Linked DNA regions of Saccharomyces cerevisiae S288C. The gene in region 3 interacts genetically with the main gene of each other region. Each region holds a gene or a part of one and is shown on either strand. Other genes may lie near its edges.

Evidence for each region.
Region 1: mutations in DPB3 (region 3) and UBP7 together harm fitness more than expected from each alone (negative genetic interaction), as found in Saccharomyces cerevisiae (2 studies listed by BioGRID).
Region 2: mutations in DPB3 (region 3) and YJR142W together harm fitness more than expected from each alone (negative genetic interaction), as found in Saccharomyces cerevisiae (2 studies listed by BioGRID).
Region 4: mutations in DPB3 (region 3) and ROX1 together harm fitness more than expected from each alone (negative genetic interaction), as found in Saccharomyces cerevisiae (2 studies listed by BioGRID).

What each region holds. Positions count from the first base shown.
Region 1 is NC_001141.2:41,892-51,806, forward strand, and holds UBP7 (ubiquitin-specific protease UBP7), read left to right. Parts: upstream 1-6,199; coding exon 6,200-9,415; downstream 9,416-9,915. Other genes in the region: formin BNR1, read left to right, coding at 1-4,061; AIM20 (Aim20p), read left to right, coding at 4,310-4,924; COA1 (Coa1p), read right to left, coding at 5,058-5,651; ATG44 (mitofissin), read left to right, coding at 5,799-5,807, 5,870-6,082; GUT2 (glycerol-3-phosphate dehydrogenase), read right to left, coding at 9,868-9,915. UniProt on the Saccharomyces cerevisiae protein: Involved in the sorting of ubiquitinated cargo proteins at the multivesicular body (MVB).
Region 2 is NC_001142.9:695,260-698,838, forward strand, and holds YJR142W (uncharacterized protein), read left to right. Parts: upstream 1-1,881; coding exon 1,882-2,910; downstream 2,911-3,579. Other genes in the region: HIR3 (Hir3p), read right to left, coding at 1-437; IPA1 (putative polyadenylation protein), read left to right, coding at 647-1,690; PMT4 (dolichyl-phosphate-mannose-protein mannosyltransferase), read right to left, coding at 3,067-3,579.
Region 3 is NC_001134.8:758,564-761,399, forward strand, and holds DPB3 (DNA polymerase epsilon noncatalytic subunit), read left to right. Parts: upstream 1-1,730; coding exon 1,731-2,336; downstream 2,337-2,836. Other genes in the region: tyrosine/serine/threonine protein phosphatase PPS1, read right to left, coding at 1-1,480; PAF1 (Paf1p), read left to right, coding at 2,694-2,836. UniProt on the Saccharomyces cerevisiae protein: As accessory component of the DNA polymerase epsilon (DNA polymerase II) participates in chromosomal DNA replication.
Region 4 is NC_001148.4:678,180-683,377, forward strand, and holds ROX1 (Rox1p), read left to right. Parts: upstream 1-1,513; coding exon 1,514-2,620; downstream 2,621-5,198. Other genes in the region: YPR063C (uncharacterized protein), read right to left, coding at 1-14, 101-141; YPR064W (uncharacterized protein), read left to right, coding at 772-1,191; NEDD8-activating protein UBA3, read left to right, coding at 3,034-3,933; ISA2 (Isa2p), read left to right, coding at 4,041-4,598; HOS1 (histone deacetylase), read right to left, coding at 4,762-5,198. UniProt on the Saccharomyces cerevisiae protein: Transcription factor that represses the expression of HEM13, COX5B, ANB1, CYC7 or AAC3 (hypoxic function). Binds to the DNA sequence 5'-RRRTAACAAGAG-3'.

The DNA.
Region 1 (9,915 bases), on a different chromosome or scaffold from region 3:
ATAGGGTCAGCGAAGCCCGTAAATTGGAAGAATTGAATTTGAACGATGGGCTGGTTGCCGCTGGCTTGCAGTTGGTCGGTGTAGCGTTAGAGAAACAAGGTACAGGATCACATATATACATGAAACAGAAGAATTTCTCAGCTAATGACGTTTCTTCGTCACCAATGGTTTCCGAAGAAGTGAACGGATCGGAAATGGATTTTAATCCGAAGTGCATGCCTCAGGACGCATCACTCGTCGAAAGAATGTTTGATGAGCTTTTAAAAGATGGAACTTTTTTTTGGGGGGCTGCTTATAAGAATTTACAAAACATCTCTCTACGAAGGAAATGGTTATTGATATGTAAAATCCGTAGTTCCAATCATTGGGGGAAAAAGAAAGTGACTTCGAGCACGACATACTCTACACATTTGGCCACTAATGAACTAGCTGAAAACGCACACTTTTTGGATGGCCTAGTTAGAAACCTTTCAACAGGTGGCATGAAGTTATCGAAGGCTCTATATAAACTAGAAAAATTCCTGCGAAAGCAAAGCTTTTTGCAACTTTTTCTCAAGGATGAAATTTACTTGACGACATTGATCGAAAAGACTTTGCCACTCATATCCAAGGAATTACAATTTGTTTATCTTCGGTGCTTTAAAATACTGATGAACAACCCACTGGCGAGAATAAGAGCACTACATTCTGAGCCTTTAATTCGCTGGTTCACCGAGCTTCTGACGGATCAAAATTCTAATTTGAAATGTCAGTTACTTTCTATGGAGTTACTTTTATTATTAACGTATGTTGAGGGTTCCACGGGTTGTGAGTTGATATGGGACCAGCTTTCCATATTATTCACCGATTGGCTAGAATGGTTTGACAAAATCCTTGCGGATGATATTGCAATTCATTCATCCCTTTATTTGAACTGGAACCAATTAAAAATAGACTATTCGACAACTTTCCTACTGCTAATAAACTCCATACTGCAAGGTTTCAACAACAAGACTGCACTAGAAATTTTGAATTTTTTGAAAAAGAATAATATACATAACACTATCACATTTTTAGAACTGGCCTATAAAGATGATCCTAATAGTGTCGTGATCATGGAACAAATAAAACAATTCAAATCCAAAGAATCTGCGATATTTGACTCGATGATAAAAACTACCAACGATACGAATTCGCTTCACCCAACAAAAGATATCGCAAGAATAGAAAGCGAGCCTCTATGTCTTGAAAATTGCCTGTTATTGAAGGCAAAAGATAGTCCCGTAGAGGCACCAATAAACGAGATTATTCAATCGCTGTGGAAAATCTTAGACTCTCAAAAACCATACTCAGAATCTATTAAACTATTAAAATTGATAAATTCTTTGCTGTTTTATCTCATAGATTCCTTTCAAGTGTCAACGAATCCTTCTTTTGATGAAACCTTGGAGTCCGCAGAAAATGTGGATTATGTTTTTCAAGATTCTGTTAATAAATTGTTGGATTCTCTACAATCTGATGAAATTGCTAGAAGAGCGGTCACAGAAATTGATGATCTTAATGCTAAGATTTCTCATTTGAATGAAAAATTAAATTTAGTAGAAAATCATGATAAAGATCATTTAATAGCAAAACTAGATGAAAGTGAATCTTTGATATCTCTGAAAACCAAGGAAATTGAAAATCTGAAACTGCAGTTGAAGGCAACCAAGAAAAGACTAGACCAAATTACCACGCATCAAAGGTTATATGACCAGCCACCTTCATTGGCAAGTAGCAACTTGAGTATTGCCGGCTCGATAATAAAAAATAATAGTCATGGAAATATCATTTTCCAAAATTTAGCAAAAAAGCAACAGCAGCAGCAAAAAATTTCTCTGCCCAAGCGTTCAACTAGTCTACTAAAAAGTAAAAGAGTTACGTCCCTTTCATCATATTTAACTGATGCAAATAACGAAAATGAGTCCCAAAATGAATCCGAAGATAAATCAAAAGACTCATTATTTCAAAGATCTACGTCAACCATTAATTTTAATATCCCTTCTATGAAAAATATTACTAATATGCAAAATGTCTCTCTAAATTCGATACTTTCAGAGTTGGAATTTTCAAATAGCCTAGGAACACAACCTAATTACCAATCGTCTCCCGTGTTGTCTTCGGTTTCTTCTTCACCAAAACTTTTCCCTCGACTTTCCTCAGATAGTCTTGATAATGGAATCCAACTAGTACCTGAAGTTGTTAAACTACCTCAACTTCCACCGCCCCCTCCTCCACCTCCCCCTCCTCCACTTCCACAGTCTCTTTTGACTGAAGCAGAAGCTAAACCGGATGGTGTTTCCTGTATTGCAGCACCTGCACCGCCACCCCTTCCAGATCTATTTAAAACTAAAACTTGTGGCGCCGTTCCACCACCACCACCGCCACCGCCTTTACCCGAGTCCTTGTCGATGAACAAAGGCCCCTCCAATCACGATTTAGTTACTCCTCCAGCTCCACCTTTACCAAATGGTCTTCTTTCTTCCTCCTCAGTGTCTATCAATCCAACGACAACCGATTTAAAACCACCTCCAACTGAAAAGCGATTGAAGCAAATCCACTGGGATAAGGTGGAGGATATCAAAGACACACTTTGGGAAGACACGTTTCAACGCCAAGAAACAATCAAAGAATTACAAACTGATGGTATATTCTCTCAGATTGAAGATATTTTTAAGATGAAAAGTCCGACTAAGATTGCAAATAAAAGGAACGCAGAATCCTCAATTGCCTTGTCTTCAAACAATGGCAAGTCTTCCAATGAGCTGAAGAAAATTTCATTCTTATCAAGAGATTTGGCTCAGCAATTTGGTATTAATTTACACATGTTTTCCCAATTATCTGATATGGAATTTGTTATGAAAGTATTGAACTGTGATAACGACATTGTCCAAAATGTTAACATACTGAAATTTTTTTGTAAAGAAGAGTTAGTAAATATACCAAAAAGTATGCTTAATAAGTACGAGCCATATTCACAGGGTAAGGATGGTAAAGCAGTAAGTGACTTACAAAGAGCTGACAGAATATTTTTGGAGTTGTGTATCAATTTAAGATTTTATTGGAATGCAAGATCAAAGAGTCTGCTGACATTGTCAACATACGAGAGAGATTATTACGATTTGATTTTCAAGTTACAAAAAATTGATGATGCAATTTCACACTTAAATCGTTCACCTAAATTTAAAAGTTTGATGTTTATTATCACGGAAATAGGCAATCATATGAATAAAAGAATTGTTAAGGGTATCAAATTGAAGTCATTGACTAAACTTGCCTTTGTCAGATCCAGTATTGATCAAAATGTATCATTTTTGCATTTTATTGAAAAAGTCATAAGAATAAAATATCCTGATATATACGGTTTTGTGGATGATTTGAAGAACATTGAAGATTTAGGTAAAATCTCACTAGAACACGTTGAATCAGAGTGTCATGAATTTCATAAAAAAATTGAGGATTTAGTTACTCAGTTTCAAGTAGGAAAGCTATCCAAAGAGGAGAACTTAGACCCCAGAGATCAAATTATTAAAAAGGTCAAGTTTAAGATTAATCGGGCCAAAACAAAAAGTGAATTATTGATTGGTCAATGTAAATTAACTTTAATAGATTTGAATAAACTGATGAAATATTACGGTGAAGATCCCAAAGATAAAGAGAGTAAAAACGAATTTTTCCAACCCTTTATTGAATTTTTAGCCATGTTTAAGAAATGTGCCAAGGAAAACATTGAAAAGGAGGAAATGGAAAGAGTGTACGAACAAAGGAAGAGCTTGTTAGATATGAGGACAAGCAGTAATAAGAAAAGCAATGGAAGTGATGAAAACGATGGTGAAAAAGTAAACAGGGATGCTGTTGATCTACTCATATCTAAATTACGCGAAGTAAAGAAGGATCCAGAACCTCTAAGAAGAAGAAAGAGTACAAAACTCAATGAAATAGCCATTAACGTACATGAAGGAGATGTAAAAACGAGAAAGGATGAAGATCACGTTTTACTAGAGAGAACGCATGCTATGCTGAACGATATTCAAAATATATAGTGAAGACTTAGTATTTTATGTAGTTGTGGAGCTTATATAAAGAAATGGACAATATTCGCAATCGCTTCTCAAAAGGGAAATATTTTCCCTTTTCGGGCGGTGGTCGTGTTGACAAATTTCCTAGTTAAGAACTAAGATTTGGAGATGGACAGATTCATTAATAAATTTCAAAATAAGCACAGAAAGCATCGAATTTTTAGCTCAAAACAATCTACTTTTCAATCATCAAAACAGACTATTGAATAAAGATGGGCAATGTGTCTGTGGCAGTGGGAACGGCAGTTGGGATTCCAATTGCTGTGGGCGTAATAATAGCCCTGATATTTTGGTGTAAATTACAACGACGTTACAAAAAAGAAGAGATTAGAGATGCTGATTTGGAGAAGATGGTAATGGAAGAAGTGGCAGTGTCGGTATATGATGGTTTTAAAGCCGAAATTAACAGCTCAAGTGAAGCTTCCACGATAAACGAAAAGGAAGCAAACCAGGATCTTAAACCCTGCCAAGAAAAAACCGCCAAGGCAGGGTACACACCAGCATACAGAAGGCAATTGAACGCTAGTATGGGGACTTTGCGTCCAAAAAAGCAGAGCACTGCATATACCAATGTCCCCGTCATTTTCAGCGGCGAAAAGGTGAATTATGGGATGGTCAGAGATCCTTCCTATAGTTTTATGTATCCACTGACGCTATCGCGCAAAGAAACGAGTAGTTTGAGATCAGCTTCTACGTCAAACTTGTCATCGAGCACAGAAAATACTGCGTTACACGAAGAAATAAAACTGGATGACCCATATGAAAACGATTTTACGAATTATACTGTCAACAAGAGAGAATTTATTGACAGCTTACGGCCACACTAATATATATGCATATAGATATATAAACGTACCTACATAGTTTTGCATTTGTATAGATACCCAGACCACTTGTAATAACGATAAAAATAAAATAATAATAAAGGATATTTACAGACAAATAGCACCATACTTGCTATTAAATTGGTGTCTTGGTATTTTCAGCTAGCAAATCGATCTTTTGGCCAGCGGCAGTGACGCTCCATTCATGAATCAAAAACTCTTCGTCGTGAGTGTTCCTATCGGCAACCAGTCTAACGGTTCCAGTAACGTTTTTGTCCCCCTTGATATAAAACGTAATGTTAATCCTACCCTTCACAGAGTTCAGTTCACCGTAGACCCAAGGGATGATACCATCAAATTCTATGCTCTCACCCAGTATGTTTTTAGTTGCTGGAGACCGTCTTATATAATACAGCGTGTTGGAGATAATGGGGGACTCCGTCTTTTCATAGTTGAAGATCAAAGATAGTGCGGACCCAATGGCCACAGAAAACAACAAAAATCCAGCTATTCGCTTTCTCCTCTCCGTGGTTGGGTCAGGCAATTCTCTGTCAATTCTCAATGGCCTGTTCTTGTCTTTCAAAACGATCTTGGCCTCATCTTCAGCGACACTATTATTGAATCTAGCGCTGGTAGAGAATGAGTGCAGCAAGGAACCACGCACTAGCACAGCCTTAGCTGCAGAAGGTGTCACTTTCGGCAACCCTTTAGTTACTAGTCTTAACATCATGTATAGTCTGTTTTATCTTTTACTTTTATGTCGTGGACTGGTACGGAGAGAAAGATCGAACTGTTTTAAAACTGGGATTAAAATGACAAGAAGGCGCTTTCTTTCTCTCCACAATGATCAAAACAAGAACAAGCAAAACGCAAAGAGATGACATTAGTAAGTACCCAAATGAGCTACTAACAACGCATCCGGTAATACTAACAAGAGAAATTGGTTAGGTAGGGAAACTAGTACACATATCCATAGATTTGGTCTTGGTATCAACGTGCCTCGCGGGGATTAAACGCAATACAGGTTTGACGCCTAAACTGGAGACTCTGGACAATCAGACTATGAGAAACTACATGAAGCGGTACTTGAACTTGGGAGAGTCTGTATACGACTATTCTGTTGCCACTTGTGGCTCCTCGACGTATTTCGCTAGGAAATAGGTACGTTTATATTCTATATATGTTGATAATATTTTGTATAACGGCACCCAGCCGGGGGCCAAAATTAATAACCGCAACTTAAAGAGCTATCGCTATCGATTACGCATAGAACTTTAAATGCTAGACGATGATAAGGGCACGGCCATGCATCCACATATAACGCCGTTCACGCCTGAGTACTCAAATGAATTACTGCGAAGGGTCCAGGACCTGTACCACGAAGATATCAAGCACTACTATCCGCAGCTAAAACTGGAGAAGCTGCTGGACCTTCTGGAGCATACAGAGTACCTATTCGAGTTATATCTAGATTCAATCCATCACGATAGGCCCAACGATGCACTGACAGCGTTTATCATTGGATGCTACTACGTGTTCTTAATTATTCCACAATCTTTGCAGTTCCAAACACGAAACAAGTCCTACAGCATCTATACAGATCTAAAAAAGATGTATGAGAATGAAATGAACATGACCAATGTTGTGCTTATGGTGAAGAAAGAAATCGGTGTGGTCCTAGATGAATCGGTTAAACACGGGGCCGGTATTGAGCACAGAATCACCAAGAAGAGGGCATTTTCAGTTCCAGCTGACGATCTTTCAGGTCAGGTAGCTTCACTATCACTTGACACCGCGGCACCGCAAGATCATGGCCTCAAAGGCACGTTTACTGAAGACGACGCAGAACAATCTTCACCTGTTTGGACAGCACCAAACTTAGAGCCCAACGACCAATTGAAACTGGCTTTATTGCCCGAAGTGATACCAACGCCAGCTTTTCGTGAGCCTGAAAGAAAGACAAGTGTTCCAGTGAGACCATCTGTTTTATTGGAAGATGTACCCTCCATATACCACGAGGATGACACTAGTTTCGCATCTTTGAACCCACCATTTCGAGAAATAACCGCAGATAGATCAGTAACTCATCGAAAGGATTCTTACCATTCTGTTTATATGGTGGATAGCGGCAACCTCAAGGAAGACAATGATGATCTGTTCAACGTTGAGAATGATGGCTTCATCCAGAGTTTGGATATTTTACAAAAGCAGAGTATAATCACAGCACCAGAATTGTTTAGTATTTTATCGAATCGCGTTGAACGTGAAAAGGTTTTACTCATCGACTTGAGAATACCACAAAGATCTGCAATAAATCACATTGTGGCTCCGAACTTAGTGAATGTGGATCCAAACTTGTTGTGGGACAAGCAGACGAACACACCTATCTACAAGGATGACATATTGGAACATTTACTGAAGGAGAATGAGAATTTTATAAACCGTAATAAATTTGATTACATTGTTTACTATACTGATGTGAAGACCTTCATGACTATAAATTTTGATTATGCATTTATTTTTTTTTATTTGATGCTGACTTCTCAGAAGACTCCTTTAACAACTGTACCTACTACCCTCTTAGGTGGGTACGAAAAATGGAAGAAAACTCTGCATTCGTATGCCCAGGAGTATCATATCTCTATTGAAGATTACTTGTACAGACCTTACTCACAGAAGGCGCGCTTACAACAGGAGCAGCAGCAGCAGCAGCAGCAGCCGGATTCTCAGGACTCTTTTTCCGCTAAGGAATCATCTACAAAAGTTCCTGAGCCTCCCTCCTGGAAGCCCCCTGACCTGCCTATAAGGTTAAGGAAACGTCCTCCACCTCCACCGCCTGTATCAATGCCCACAACCCCAGAAATTCCACCTCCTCTGCCCCCTAAGATAATGGTTCATTCACAAGTCAGTTCTATCTCTCGAAAGCCGCCAATACCAGCAAAGCAGCATGTCAAAAAGGAACAACTTAACTCCAATGAAATTATTCAAAGAAAAAGACAGCACCAGCATCAGCATTACGACCAACAAATATTACAACCGCAAAGGGCGTACAATATTCCAACTATTGAACGCAGTCCAAACGTATACGTTTCGTTGTCCATCACGGGACTAAGAAATTTGGGCAATACATGTTACATTAATAGTATGATACAATGTCTATTCGCTGCGAAAACATTCCGGACACTCTTCATTTCATCCAAATATAAGAGCTATCTGCAACCAATAAGGAGCAACGGATCTCATTATTCTCCTAAACTTTCGAATTCACTAAGTATGCTCTTCAACAAGATGTATCTAAATGGTGGTTGCTCAGTTGTCCCAACAGGATTTCTCAAAGTTATCAATCAATTGCGTCCCGATTTGAAAATTCCTGATGACCAACAGGATACCCAAGAGTTCCTAATGATACTTTTAGACAGGTTACACGATGAACTTTCCGACCAACAGCATGTAGCGAACGATTATCCGAATTTATTATTGTATAATGCAGATGCCCTAAAGGTTTCAAACAACGAATATAAGCACTGGTTTGACAAAAATGTCATTGGTAATGGTATATCTCCTATTGATGACATTTTTCAAGGGCAAATGGAGAACAGCTTACAATGTAAAAGGTGCGGTTACACTACTTTCAACTATAGCACATTTTATGTTTTATCACTGGCTATACCAAGACGTTCCATGAAGTTGAGTAAACTTGGTAGGTCTACTGAGAAAAGAGTTAAGTTAGAGGATTGTATTAATATGTTTACAAGCGATGAGGTACTCTCTGGTGAAAATGCATGGGATTGCCCACGCTGTGGCCCCACGGCGTCTGTGTCTACATCTGTGTCTGCATTAGAGAATGAGCCATCCATTGTTAAGAGTAAAAAGAAAAAAAGTCGGTTTTTTACATTACATACAGGAACCAAGCGTCGTCATCTCGACTTTTTTGGAGACGGTATTACTGAGGGCCATAATAGCAATAATAATAATACGACAATCTTTGAACGAGAAAGGTCCAGATCACCCTTCAGGATGTTGGGTGGTAGTGGGAAGAGGTCCAGTTCCAGTACACCGTTCAGTACTGGTGGTAATGATAGTAACAACTCGAGTGATTACAAGAACAAAAAATTGACAACAGTGAAAACGATAAATTTTGTAACTTTACCAAAAATCTTAGTCATCCATTTATCGAGATTTTATTACGATTTGACCAAGAAAAATAACACCGTCGTAACATATCCATTGATACTAAACATTATATTGAAAAACAATGACACTATGAAATATAAGCTATTTGGAGTGGTTAACCATACAGGCACATTAATCAGTGGCCATTACACGTCACTGGTGAATAAAGACCTTGAACACAATGTGAATATTGGGCGTTCTAAATGGTACTATTTCGACGATGAGGTTGTCAAGGCAGATAGGAAACATGGATCTGATAAAAACTTGAAAATTTCAAGTAGCGATGTCTACGTATTGTTTTATGAAAGGGTTTATGACTAGCAAAATTTTGCATTTTTTTTTTTGCACCATAAATATGTATTGCGTATGCACCAGGACGTTGAAGAATATTATTTAGTGTTTCTATATTTTATGATAAAACTAGAGATAAAGGGGATAATTAAAACGATATTAAAACGGAAGTCTACACAATGATTATATAGATTATATTATGTATTGGAAATAGAATATAAACACTAGGAAGGTCATAATTTGAAGATCAATTGTAGTAGTAGAGTCTATTACCTCTTTTTTTTTTTTTCTTCATATATTTTTGTAGTTTTTTTAGTTTACTTTAACTCTTCCATTAAGGAAAATAGGTAATAATAGCGATTTCATTGCCATTACCACCATTATTATTATTGTTATTACTATCATTATTATTATTATCATCATTACCATTATTATTACTCTTGTGAATGTTATCTTTGTCACCCTTAACTATCATGATCGATTTAGACACCAAACGTCTTGATGAAGTTCACAGTTTTTTCAAGTTCCCA
Region 2 (3,579 bases), on a different chromosome or scaffold from region 3:
ACACTATTAAAGCTCTTGAAGATGCGAGCCAGCAAATCTGTAACTGCAAAATCAGCATCGCTATGTTGAATAGACTCAACCAAGTTCTCAACTGCTTTTAAAATACAATTAACTAGTTCTTGTGAGTTCAACCTTTCATAGTTATTCTCCAAATACAGATGATAGTACATCCCTCTGTTCCTATAACATAGATATCGCAGGTTATCTAGCGTAGGAGAAGAATTGCGATACATGCCCCACCTATCAGGCTTGACGACATCAATCTGGAAGAGCTCTTGGAATTTGCTGTCCGACTTTTCGAAGTCCTTGTTTTTTAGATCAATCAGAGCGTCCTGCAAAATATTAAAACTCTGTTCTATTTGAAGCTCTCTTGAATGCTCCTCTGCTTCATATTGTTCACCTTCGATGTTTGAATTGAGGGCATTGAACATAGACATAATAAGCTTTATCTAGAATCTGTGTTGAGGTTCTAACTCCTTAAAGTGCCTTTACGGACCTGCCTTGCTACCGTCTATTTGTATTTCTGCTCTTCCCAACGTAAACAATTCAATAAATAATTTCGCGATGGCACATAGTAACAAGCTGTTAAATCGAAGTAAAGAAAAGGAAAGTCAAGAAAACAAAGAGAGAAACAAATGCAAGGGTGATGGTTCAATATGTGGTAGAATGGTTACCAAGGATACAGAGCATTTCAGTGGTAGTAGAAGGTTGGAAGCAGGTGGAGATAAAGAACTTGAAGGACACACTCATGAGCATATCTGGTGATGAAGAACAAGTTGAAGATATTTTACTTCCAGTAGAAGTTGAAGAAAAAGTAGACGCTTCTTACAAGTTCAAAAACAGAGGTAAAGACTTAGAATGGATGACGAAGTTAAGAAGCAAATCCTCTAAGATATATGACAGTTCTATCATGTCGCTTCCAGATGGAAGATGGACTAAAGAAGAGCTTCGCTCAGATTCTGATTTCTCGATAGAATGTCTTAACTGTAAGCAAAAAATTATAAGCAAAGATAACTGTCAAGTTTTGAATGATATGCCTTCAGAGTTTTGGTTCGAGTTAATGGATTATTGGCATTGCCACAAACCCGATGTTAAGGAAGACAAGTCTTCCTACACAAGATTTGAAACGCTAAAACCATCTAAAAACGAAATTTTAATTGGAAGCTCTTATTTTCAAGGCACTCCTGCGACTTTTGAAAATGTAGCGACTACAAAGGAAAATGATAATGTTTTATGCATAAAGTGCTCAGCAGTGTTAGGCCAAGTAACTGCTGGTTCGCTTTATAAACTACACAAATGGAAACTGCAGTTAATACGCAGTGGAAACACATACAAATTTCCTCCAGAATGTGACATTACAATTTCTTTAATAAACGTAGTTAAGGCAAACTCTTGTCGTTACGTACTAGTAAAATGTAAAACGGAATCATTGCTAGTTTGGATATTTTCCGTTGACATTGGAGTCACATTGACGGGAAACAAAAGCTTCAAGAGAGCGATGAAGTTGCTTTACACAAACAGCGTTACCACAATAAATCGATGTCTCAATCGACAAGTCGTCGAGGAATTAGATTTCCAAGAAACATCGTTTAATGCTTTTTACAGCGCCCTTCAACATACTAATGCACTTTTACCCTCAAGCATGAAAAAAATTGGTGAATGGACCATTAGCTATACATCACTAATCTAATTTTAAGAACCATTCTCTTTCAAATTTGTACAAATATTGTCATCAAGTAATAAATAGCTTCTTTTTTTTTTTAACATACAGTTGTAGAATTAACTTCGTTGGCCGAAGAATTGCACAACAATAGCGTTTGTTATATTACTAAATATAGGGGCTTTCTTGGGAACGAAAGTGAAACAAACGCTTTTAATACAATGAAGGTCGAGAAATCATCTAAAGGCTTGGAAGTTTTAGTGAGGACACAGGAGGATGATCTAGAGGGGTTCTCTTTCCTGGAGATTATGGACCGCGTAGACCCTTTACCATTAGACTTCGAGAATTACAAAAATTTCAAAGAGGGCATTTACTATATGTGTACACACGATGGCACAAAGATCGGTTTCGTGTTGAAATTTGCGATAAATGAAATGGAGACTGTTTGCTCGGAAATCTTCGAAGAAACCTTCCAATTAGATGAATCTAGACATGAGTTAAGGTTTAAAAGTGAAGATTTTGATCATAGAAACAATCTAATTGACCAATTGGCTCGTAAAATGTATTTAGAATCATCCTTGAGTGGTGTGAAGGGCTGGAGAAACGAGAAATATGCCGTTTGGGTTAATAAAAAACCCTATGTACTGGTTGAGCGTGCAGTAGCAGGTGTTCTTGGTATAATTACCTACGGGATTCATATTAATGGTTATGTGCTAGATCCAAAGTCAAAAAAAGTTCAGTTTTGGGTTCCAAGAAGATCTAAAACGAAACAAACATGGCCGCTAATGCTTGACAACATTATCGCCGGGGGATTAGGTTATCCTTATGGTATCTATGAAACAGTTTTGAAAGAAAGCATGGAGGAAGCCAATCTAGAAAAGAGTGTTATTGAGGATAACATTAAAGCAACTGGTTCAGTTTCCTACCTTTACTTTACGGGTGATATTTCTGTAACGAAGTTCAATAAGGAATCAGATTTTATCGTAGGGGAAGTACAATATGTATACGATCTAAAACTCAGCGAAGACATCATTCCAAAACCAAACGATGGTGAAGTCGAGAGTTTCAATTTATTCAGCCTGCAAGAGACGATTAATGCTTTAAGAAAAAAAGAGTTCAAACCAAATTGTGCATTGGTAATGGTAGATTTCTTGATTAGACATGGCTACATCACTCCAGAAAATGAGCCCAATTATCTTGAACTAGTAACTAGAATGCACAGAAGGTTACCATTCCCCACCTTGAATTAACATTCAAGAGGTTACCGGTTGATATCTAAACAAATATAAAGAATTTTTTTCATATATACACATCTAGGTACATACTATCTAAGATCAAAAGTACTCTATTTTGTCACTAAACGGAGGAAGGCGTTCAGTTCGTTTGTGGTTAGTGAACAGAAAAAGTTACTTGGAGAAATTTAATTCTATGTCAAACCACTCTCTAGAAACAACTTCCGATGGTGACAAGCTGACATCTCCATACACTAGTGGTGAAAAGTATACAAAAAACCACGCAACAGCACAGGAGACACACACCAAGAAGACGGTATAGGGTTTAACGTAGACCTTAGGGTTCCGTTCATATGATGCACCTGAAATATCCTCGTCTTTCTCCAAATCCAATGATTTGCAATCACTGAAAATTACTTCCCATAGTGCTCCTGAGAATAAGCACGCGATTAAATGAGCTGGTAAGTAATGATGCAAAAACTTTTGACGCGCCATTAAAAAGAATGGAAAATAATGACAGCACCAGGAGACGAAGAAAAACATCAATGGGCCATACAGCTTTTCTCTGGTCATCTTGTTTAGGGCATAATAGCCACGATGTCTAGTAATTAAATCGGCCACGATAATGCCAACAAAAACAGCCAATGATATGACTTGGAACCACCACCCAATGATGTTACCAATGAA
Region 3 (2,836 bases):
TAATATAAGCTGTTAATAATAATGACGTTTCTGTATATCCGTCTTCGCAATACATGAACGTCAATAATTCTTGAACTTGGGATACTTGAAATATTAAATAACAAACATTCAAAAGAATTTCCACAGACTGAATGTTTAAGTTCCCCAAACCTATACTACCTGAGGCAGGGAAAGTCAAATGCAAATGCTCTTGTGATTTTGACGCATCATCGTCTAATAAAAGATCTAGATATGTTCGGATTTTCGTTAACGACGGCATTTGCGAGTTTGACGTACATTTTATGATCAATTTCCACACCTCTTTTGTATTCGGTATGTTATACAGTTGAGAAATGGAGGTTGTCGGATTGTCCGTATCATAATTTAGAGACTTTAAATTTACTATGCTTGTATTCTCTTCGAAACGGTGGGTCAGAGATATATTGTTTTTTTTAATTATTTGATAATTATGCCAATCAGTGGTGTTACCGCAAATCAACCCTGTTTCCTCCAATCGTGTAGCTGAAGTCAGCTTATTCAACTCTAACTTCTCGCACAAAACCATATTCTTATCAACGTTATTGAAACACACTATTTCACTAGGTGACGAACATAAATTCAAGGGAGTATTATTCTTGAAAAATTCGTTGTCTAATAAAGGTGTACCAATCAAAGTTTGAGGTATATCTGTATTGAAATTCTGATAAGTGCAAATAAAAAGATTCGTCTTGTAAAGCGATCCTCCACTCCCTACATAACCCTTTTGAACAAACATTAAACAGATCTGTAAAAGTAGTGCAAGGGTTGTACAATTGGGGCAATTTCCCTCGTGTGAGCACGCTGGCGCTGATTCTGTTTGCATATCAGTGCTGCCACCAGTCCGCGAACAATAAATTACTATATTATCAACCATTTCTATCATCTTGGCACATTGCAGGTCGAACCTTCGGAATAGACCTCTCCTTCCCCAGACGTCCTGCCCACTCCGTTTTAGCGTGGTATTAGACCCAACCTTGTTTCTAGAATACCTTTTAAGTTCTAATGATAGTCCACGAGGATCTACTTTCAGAAATGGTAAAATGCTATGATTGTGACAATAAGTAGCAGCGTTTTCCAAAGCAACATCATCCACTTGCAATTCCAATTGTCGTATCTGAAACTTTAGCAAGTTCAAAAGTTCCTTTGTGTTATTGGGATATTGAAAACCATTAGAATCATTTCCAGTTTCACAGGTATCGCCCTCTCTATGAAAGGAAGTGCGAACTTTCCAGGACTGGAAGATATCATTCACTTCGAGAGAATTACGCAAAAGCGCAGAATTGTTAGCATCTGATTGCGATTTGACTATTGCAAGAGAATGAGGAAAATCGGGTGGTTGACCAAAGGAAATATCATGAGCCCAGGGGAACATTTTTTTACATTCAGGCCATTCTGCATCCTGATGTAGTCGCATAAGATCATGCAGTTCACCAGGTGTGATTGAGGGCACTTCCAAAACCATGGTTGTTGCTCTAGTTTTCTATACCCGCCCCTTCTACCTCAATGACAATCTCTCTTTTATGGTTGGTGTTTCTTTTCACTTTTTTACTTCTTCTTGTACTTTTCTTTTTGAACCTTAAAAACTCTTGCAATTATGTTTCCATGATGCTTTTGAAGTAATAATTTATTTTTATTACGCGAAATTAATGGCCTTAACAACTGCCTGCCCCAACAGATAAAAACAAGCAAGGGTCAACCGTGTTGCAAAAAAAATGTCCAACTTAGTTAAAGAAAAAGCACCTGTCTTTCCTATATCTAAAGTAAAGAAGATTGCCAAATGCGACCCCGAATACGTAATTACATCTAATGTAGCTATATCAGCGACCGCATTCGCTGCTGAGTTATTTGTACAGAATCTCGTCGAAGAATCGCTGGTCTTAGCACAACTGAATTCGAAAGGAAAGACAAGCCTACGATTAAGCCTAAATTCTATAGAAGAATGTGTCGAAAAAAGAGATAATTTCAGGTTTCTAGAGGATGCCATTAAACAACTGAAGAAGAATAGCGCACTCGACAAGAAGAGAGAACTAAACATGCAACCGGGTCGGAGCGATCAAGAGGTTGTTATAGAAGAGCCTGAATTGCATGAGGATGATGGTGTAGAGGAAGAAGAAGAAGAAGACGAGGTATCCGAAGAAGAAGAGCCCGTACACAATGAAGAACTTCTTGATGATAGTAAAGATCAACAAAATGATAAATCCACGCGCAGTGTGGCAAGCTTGCTGTCGAGATTCCAGTATAAATCCGCACTAGACGTAGGAGAACACTCCGACTCTTCTGATATCGAAGTTGACCATACGAAAAGCACCGATCCTTAGTGTTGTTGCTATTATTGCTATGTAATTACTATTCGATGCAATATGTTATACATATACATACACGCAATGAGAACCCTAACCTTGAACTTACTATTTTAAAAGGACATCTCGAAAAAGCTTAGGGATAATTAATATTTTGTAGGTTAGAGCTGTTATGTAGGGAAGAAAAACAAGGGCTTTAAAATAATAATCACATTACACGAATAACTTAATTTGTCTTTCTGAAATGGAAAAAGAAAAAAATGACGACTGTAACATTGGATGAATTAATACTGTCATTATTGATACGTTGTTAATTATAGACAGAAATGTATTCAGTACAATAGAACAGTGCTCATAATAGTATAAAGGGTCACAATGTCCAAAAAACAGGAATATATTGCACCAATAAAATACCAAAACAGCTTGCCTGTGCCACAATTACCTCCTAAACTTCTGGTTTACCCCGAGTCTCCGGAGACGAATGCAGACTCCTCCCAACTAATCAATTCACTATACAT
Region 4 (5,198 bases), on a different chromosome or scaffold from region 3:
CAATTTTCTTGTACCTGTGGTAGAAAGGGAGCGGTTGAACTGTTAGTATATATTGGCAATATCAGCAAATTTGAAAGAAAATTGTCGGTGAAAAACATACGAAACACAAAGGTCGGGCCTTGCAACGTTATTCAAAGTCATTGTTTAGTTGAGGAGGTAGCAGCGGAGTATATGTATTCCTTTTTTTTGCCTATGGATGTTGTACCATGCCCATTCTGCTCAAGCTTTTGTTAAAATTATTTTTCAGTATTTTTTCTTCCATGTTGCGCGTTACGAGAACAGAAGCGACAGATAACCGCAATCATACAACTAGCGCTACTGCGGGGTGTAAAAAGCACAAGAACTAAGCCAAGATCACAACAGTTATCGATAAAATAGCAGTGTTTGCATGGCCATTGAGAAGGACAACATTGGCGTGCGCGCCAATGTTGTCTCACCATGTAGCTCCAAACGAGTTGTAAGAGACGGACCGCTCACGCTTCCGAAGCGGTCAGAAAACGCTTCCCAGTATGCAGTTGACCTACATTCAACCTGCAAATATTGCTTTGCTTCAAGAAATGATTACACAGACGTCTATTTTCTTCTACATAATGCACGAAACTTGGGCATTTAGTCATGTAGCCGCCTAGCGAGCCTGGGTGCCGTCCTATCTCCTTTGTTCGTGCAAAGAGACAGGAACACACACTGCGTTCTCTTGCGGCCGGTCTGGCGGACTCAGGGGTGCGGCGTTTGCTTAACCGGAGGGAATAATAAAATCGGGGTGACGCAAGTATGAAGTCATGTGTGCTTAGCAATTACGTAGAGGGATTAGAAATAATAGTGTGCGGTTATCGGAACCGGCTCTTGTTCCCGTTTAGAGCAACCCAGGTGCAGGCGTACTTTAAAGTATTTTCTTTCTTTTTTTTCCTGCTACTTACGCTAGGAGCTGCCGCAGCTGCAAAGCCGACGTCGGAGAGGCAGGTGATCTTCGGCTCGGCCGACAAATCCCCTGGATATCATTGGCCTGTCGAGGTATCGGCCGCGTGGAACTACCGGGAATTACTATGCAAAACAATTGGAAATCTGGTAGGAAAACCTTGTTCTAGAACTTGGCGATTGCTGACAAAGAAGAAAAGGGCCTATTGTTGCTGCCTCTTTTGTTGTTCTTCCTCGTATTGTCTTGCCGGTGTTCTTTGTGTCTTTTGTGTGTAGGTTCTTACTATTATAGTGCTCTTTGCTATTATATTTTCTTCGTTTTCACTTTGCGTAATGTAACGGTCTTAAACAAAGTTTTTTTTTTTTCGCTCTTGCATTTTCCTTTTCTGCTCTATCTTATTTGCTAATTGTAGTTTCAGAAGTTTTACTTAAATATAGCACTATTTTCCAGTTTTAATGTTTCTTCTCATTGCTTTCTTTTATAATTTTCGCATATAATTATACATTTACGGTGTCTTAACTCTCCCTCTTCACCCCTCATTATTCCAGAAAATACTAATACTTCTTCACACAAAAGAACGCAGTTAGACAATCAACAATGAATCCTAAATCCTCTACACCTAAGATTCCAAGACCCAAGAACGCATTTATTCTGTTCAGACAGCACTACCACAGGATCTTAATAGACGAATGGACCGCTCAAGGTGTGGAAATACCCCATAATTCAAACATTTCTAAAATTATTGGTACGAAGTGGAAGGGCTTACAACCGGAAGATAAGGCACACTGGGAAAATCTAGCGGAGAAGGAGAAACTAGAACATGAAAGGAAGTATCCTGAATACAAATACAAGCCGGTAAGAAAGTCTAAGAAGAAGCAACTACTTTTGAAGGAAATCGAGCAACAGCAGCAGCAACAACAGAAAGAACAGCAGCAGCAGAAACAGTCACAACCGCAATTACAACAGCCCTTTAACAACAATATAGTTCTTATGAAAAGAGCACATTCTCTTTCACCATCTTCCTCGGTGTCAAGCTCGAACAGCTATCAGTTCCAATTGAACAATGATCTTAAGAGGTTGCCTATTCCTTCTGTTAATACTTCTAACTATATGGTCTCCAGATCTTTAAGTGGACTACCTTTGACGCATGATAAGACGGCAAGAGACCTACCACAGCTGTCATCTCAACTAAATTCTATTCCATATTACTCAGCTCCACACGACCCTTCAACGAGACATCATTACCTCAACGTCGCTCAAGCTCAACCAAGGGCTAACTCGACCCCTCAATTGCCCTTTATTTCATCCATTATCAACAACAGCAGTCAAACACCGGTAACTACAACTACCACATCCACAACAACTGCGACATCTTCTCCTGGGAAATTCTCCTCTTCTCCGAACTCCTCTGTACTGGAGAACAACAGATTAAACAGTATCAACAATTCAAATCAATATTTACCTCCCCCTCTATTACCTTCTCTGCAAGATTTTCAACTGGATCAGTACCAGCAGCTAAAGCAGATGGGACCAACTTATATTGTCAAACCACTGTCTCACACCAGGAACAATCTATTGTCCACAACTACCCCTACGCATCATCACATTCCTCATATACCAAACCAAAACATTCCTCTACATCAAATTATAAACTCAAGCAACACTGAGGTCACCGCTAAAACTAGCCTAGTTTCTCCGAAATGATTTTTTTTTTCCATTTCTTCTTTCCGTTATATTATATTATACTATATTCCCTTTAACTAAAAATTTATGCATTTGGCTCCTGTTTAATAAAAGTTTAAATCGCCTCAAAAGAACAATTGAAAAATATGTAAAATAACAGCAAATAAAAGTCAAAATTAAAACAAAGTACCCAGAGACAAAAAAGAAAGAAAAGAAAAAAGAAACAGTCTACAAATTCTATTTGAATATATAAAATTATATTCTCAATTTTCACGTATATATTCACCTCACAAATAATATCATTCCTTTAAAAAAAAATATGTATTATTGTATAATGTTTCAGCATAGTCGTTTTTTAAGCCCTTTTTTTTAAACTTAAAAAACAAATCAATGAGATATTGTATACCTATATTATCGATAATAAAGCGACGAGGATGGACTGCAAGATATTGGTGTTAGGCGCAGGTGGTCTAGGATGCGAAATCCTGAAGAATTTGACAATGTTAAGCTTTGTTAAACAGGTTCATATTGTAGATATAGACACAATCGAGCTAACCAACCTTAATAGACAATTTCTTTTTTGTGATAAGGACATAGGCAAACCGAAAGCTCAAGTGGCAGCCCAGTATGTAAACACGCGGTTCCCTCAATTGGAAGTTGTGGCGCACGTACAGGACCTGACCACTTTGCCCCCGAGCTTTTACAAAGACTTCCAGTTCATAATCTCGGGGCTGGACGCCATTGAACCTCGTCGCTTCATCAATGAGACTCTCGTGAAGCTTACCTTGGAGTCCAATTATGAAATTTGCATCCCGTTCATAGATGGTGGAACAGAGGGGCTCAAGGGACATGTAAAAACAATCATTCCAGGCATCACTGCATGCTGGGAGTGCTCCATTGATACCTTGCCCTCGCAGCAGGATACTGTGCCAATGTGTACAATCGCCAACAATCCTCGCTGCATTGAGCATGTTGTGGAGTATGTCTCAACTATACAATACCCTGATTTAAATATTGAGTCTACGGCGGATATGGAATTTCTGCTGGAGAAGTGCTGCGAAAGGGCTGCCCAATTTAGCATCTCAACAGAAAAATTATCAACAAGTTTTATCCTGGGTATAATAAAGAGTATCATACCTAGTGTAAGCACTACGAATGCGATGGTTGCAGCGACATGCTGTACGCAGATGGTTAAGATTTATAATGATTTAATCGACCTGGAAAACGGCAATAATTTCACTTTGATTAACTGCTCAGAAGGGTGTTTTATGTACAGTTTCAAGTTCGAGCGGTTACCCGACTGTACTGTTTGTTCAAATTCCAATTCCAACTAGTATTACTAATGAATAATACCATCCGCCGGTGTCACTTGTTTAAACATCTTGCAAGTAAGTCGAGATCCTAGAGAGCCTTGTACATGTGATTGCACAGTAAAGAAGGTATGCAGGCTAAATTATTGTTTACCAGACTAAACTTTAGACGTCCCTCCACAACTTTACGCCAGTTTCCCCTAACATGTTTTTTATTTCATAGCAAAGCATTTTACTCGGATCTGGTCACTAAGGAGCCGTTGATCACACCGAAAAGAATAATAAATAAGACGCCTGGGTTAAACTTATCTATTTCTGAGAGGGCTTCCAACAGACTAGCTGAGATCTACCGCAATAGTAAGGAAAATTTAAGAATTAGTGTGGAAAGTGGTGGATGTCACGGTTTCCAGTACAATCTAACTCTAGAACCCGCTACCAAGCCAGATATTAAGAATGATGTCAAAGACAAGGAGTTTTCAGACGACCTTGACGATGATGATTCCAAGGATATAATATACGTGTTACCCGAAGATAAGGGTCGAGTGATAATTGATAGTAAATCACTAAACATTTTGAATAACACTACACTGACATACACTAATGAGTTGATCGGTTCTTCGTTCAAAATCATCAATGGTAGCCTAAAAAGTAGTTGTGGTTGTGGAAGTAGTTTTGATATTGAAAATTAAGCTGTATTATATTCATCCCTGTATATAGCATGCCCAGCTGCCAAGCATTTTTTTACTTAATTGTCTCTATTATATATTTGAAAACCTAGCAAGAGCATTACGGGATAAAACGCTGCGGCGTTCGCATTATTAATTTGTATTCAAACGACTAATTAAAACTATCTTACAGTTCGTAAAACTTCATAAGTTCGACCATATCTCTATCCTTATTGTCATTCCTTAACATTTTCATTCGAGAACTTCCTTCCATCTCATATATCCAATACTGATAGTTCTCTTCATTATACATTTCAACAAGATCATGTTCACGTATAAATTGTTCAGAATCATCACCATCACAGACATCAAATGGATCGATTTGGAACGAATTATTGTCACCACATCTTAAGTTGGAAAACTGCTTTGTAACACACCAAGTCAAGTACGTATAAAATCTACTCATTAGTAAATCGTTGTACCCACCCCCTCCAAGTAGGAATATGTGCGCTCGAGGATAACTTTTCATGATATTTATGATGATTCGAGAAAGCCCTCGTATTGTTAGCTGCCATTCATTGAATCTATCACCCAGAAGCCCATCACCACCACATTCAATTATTA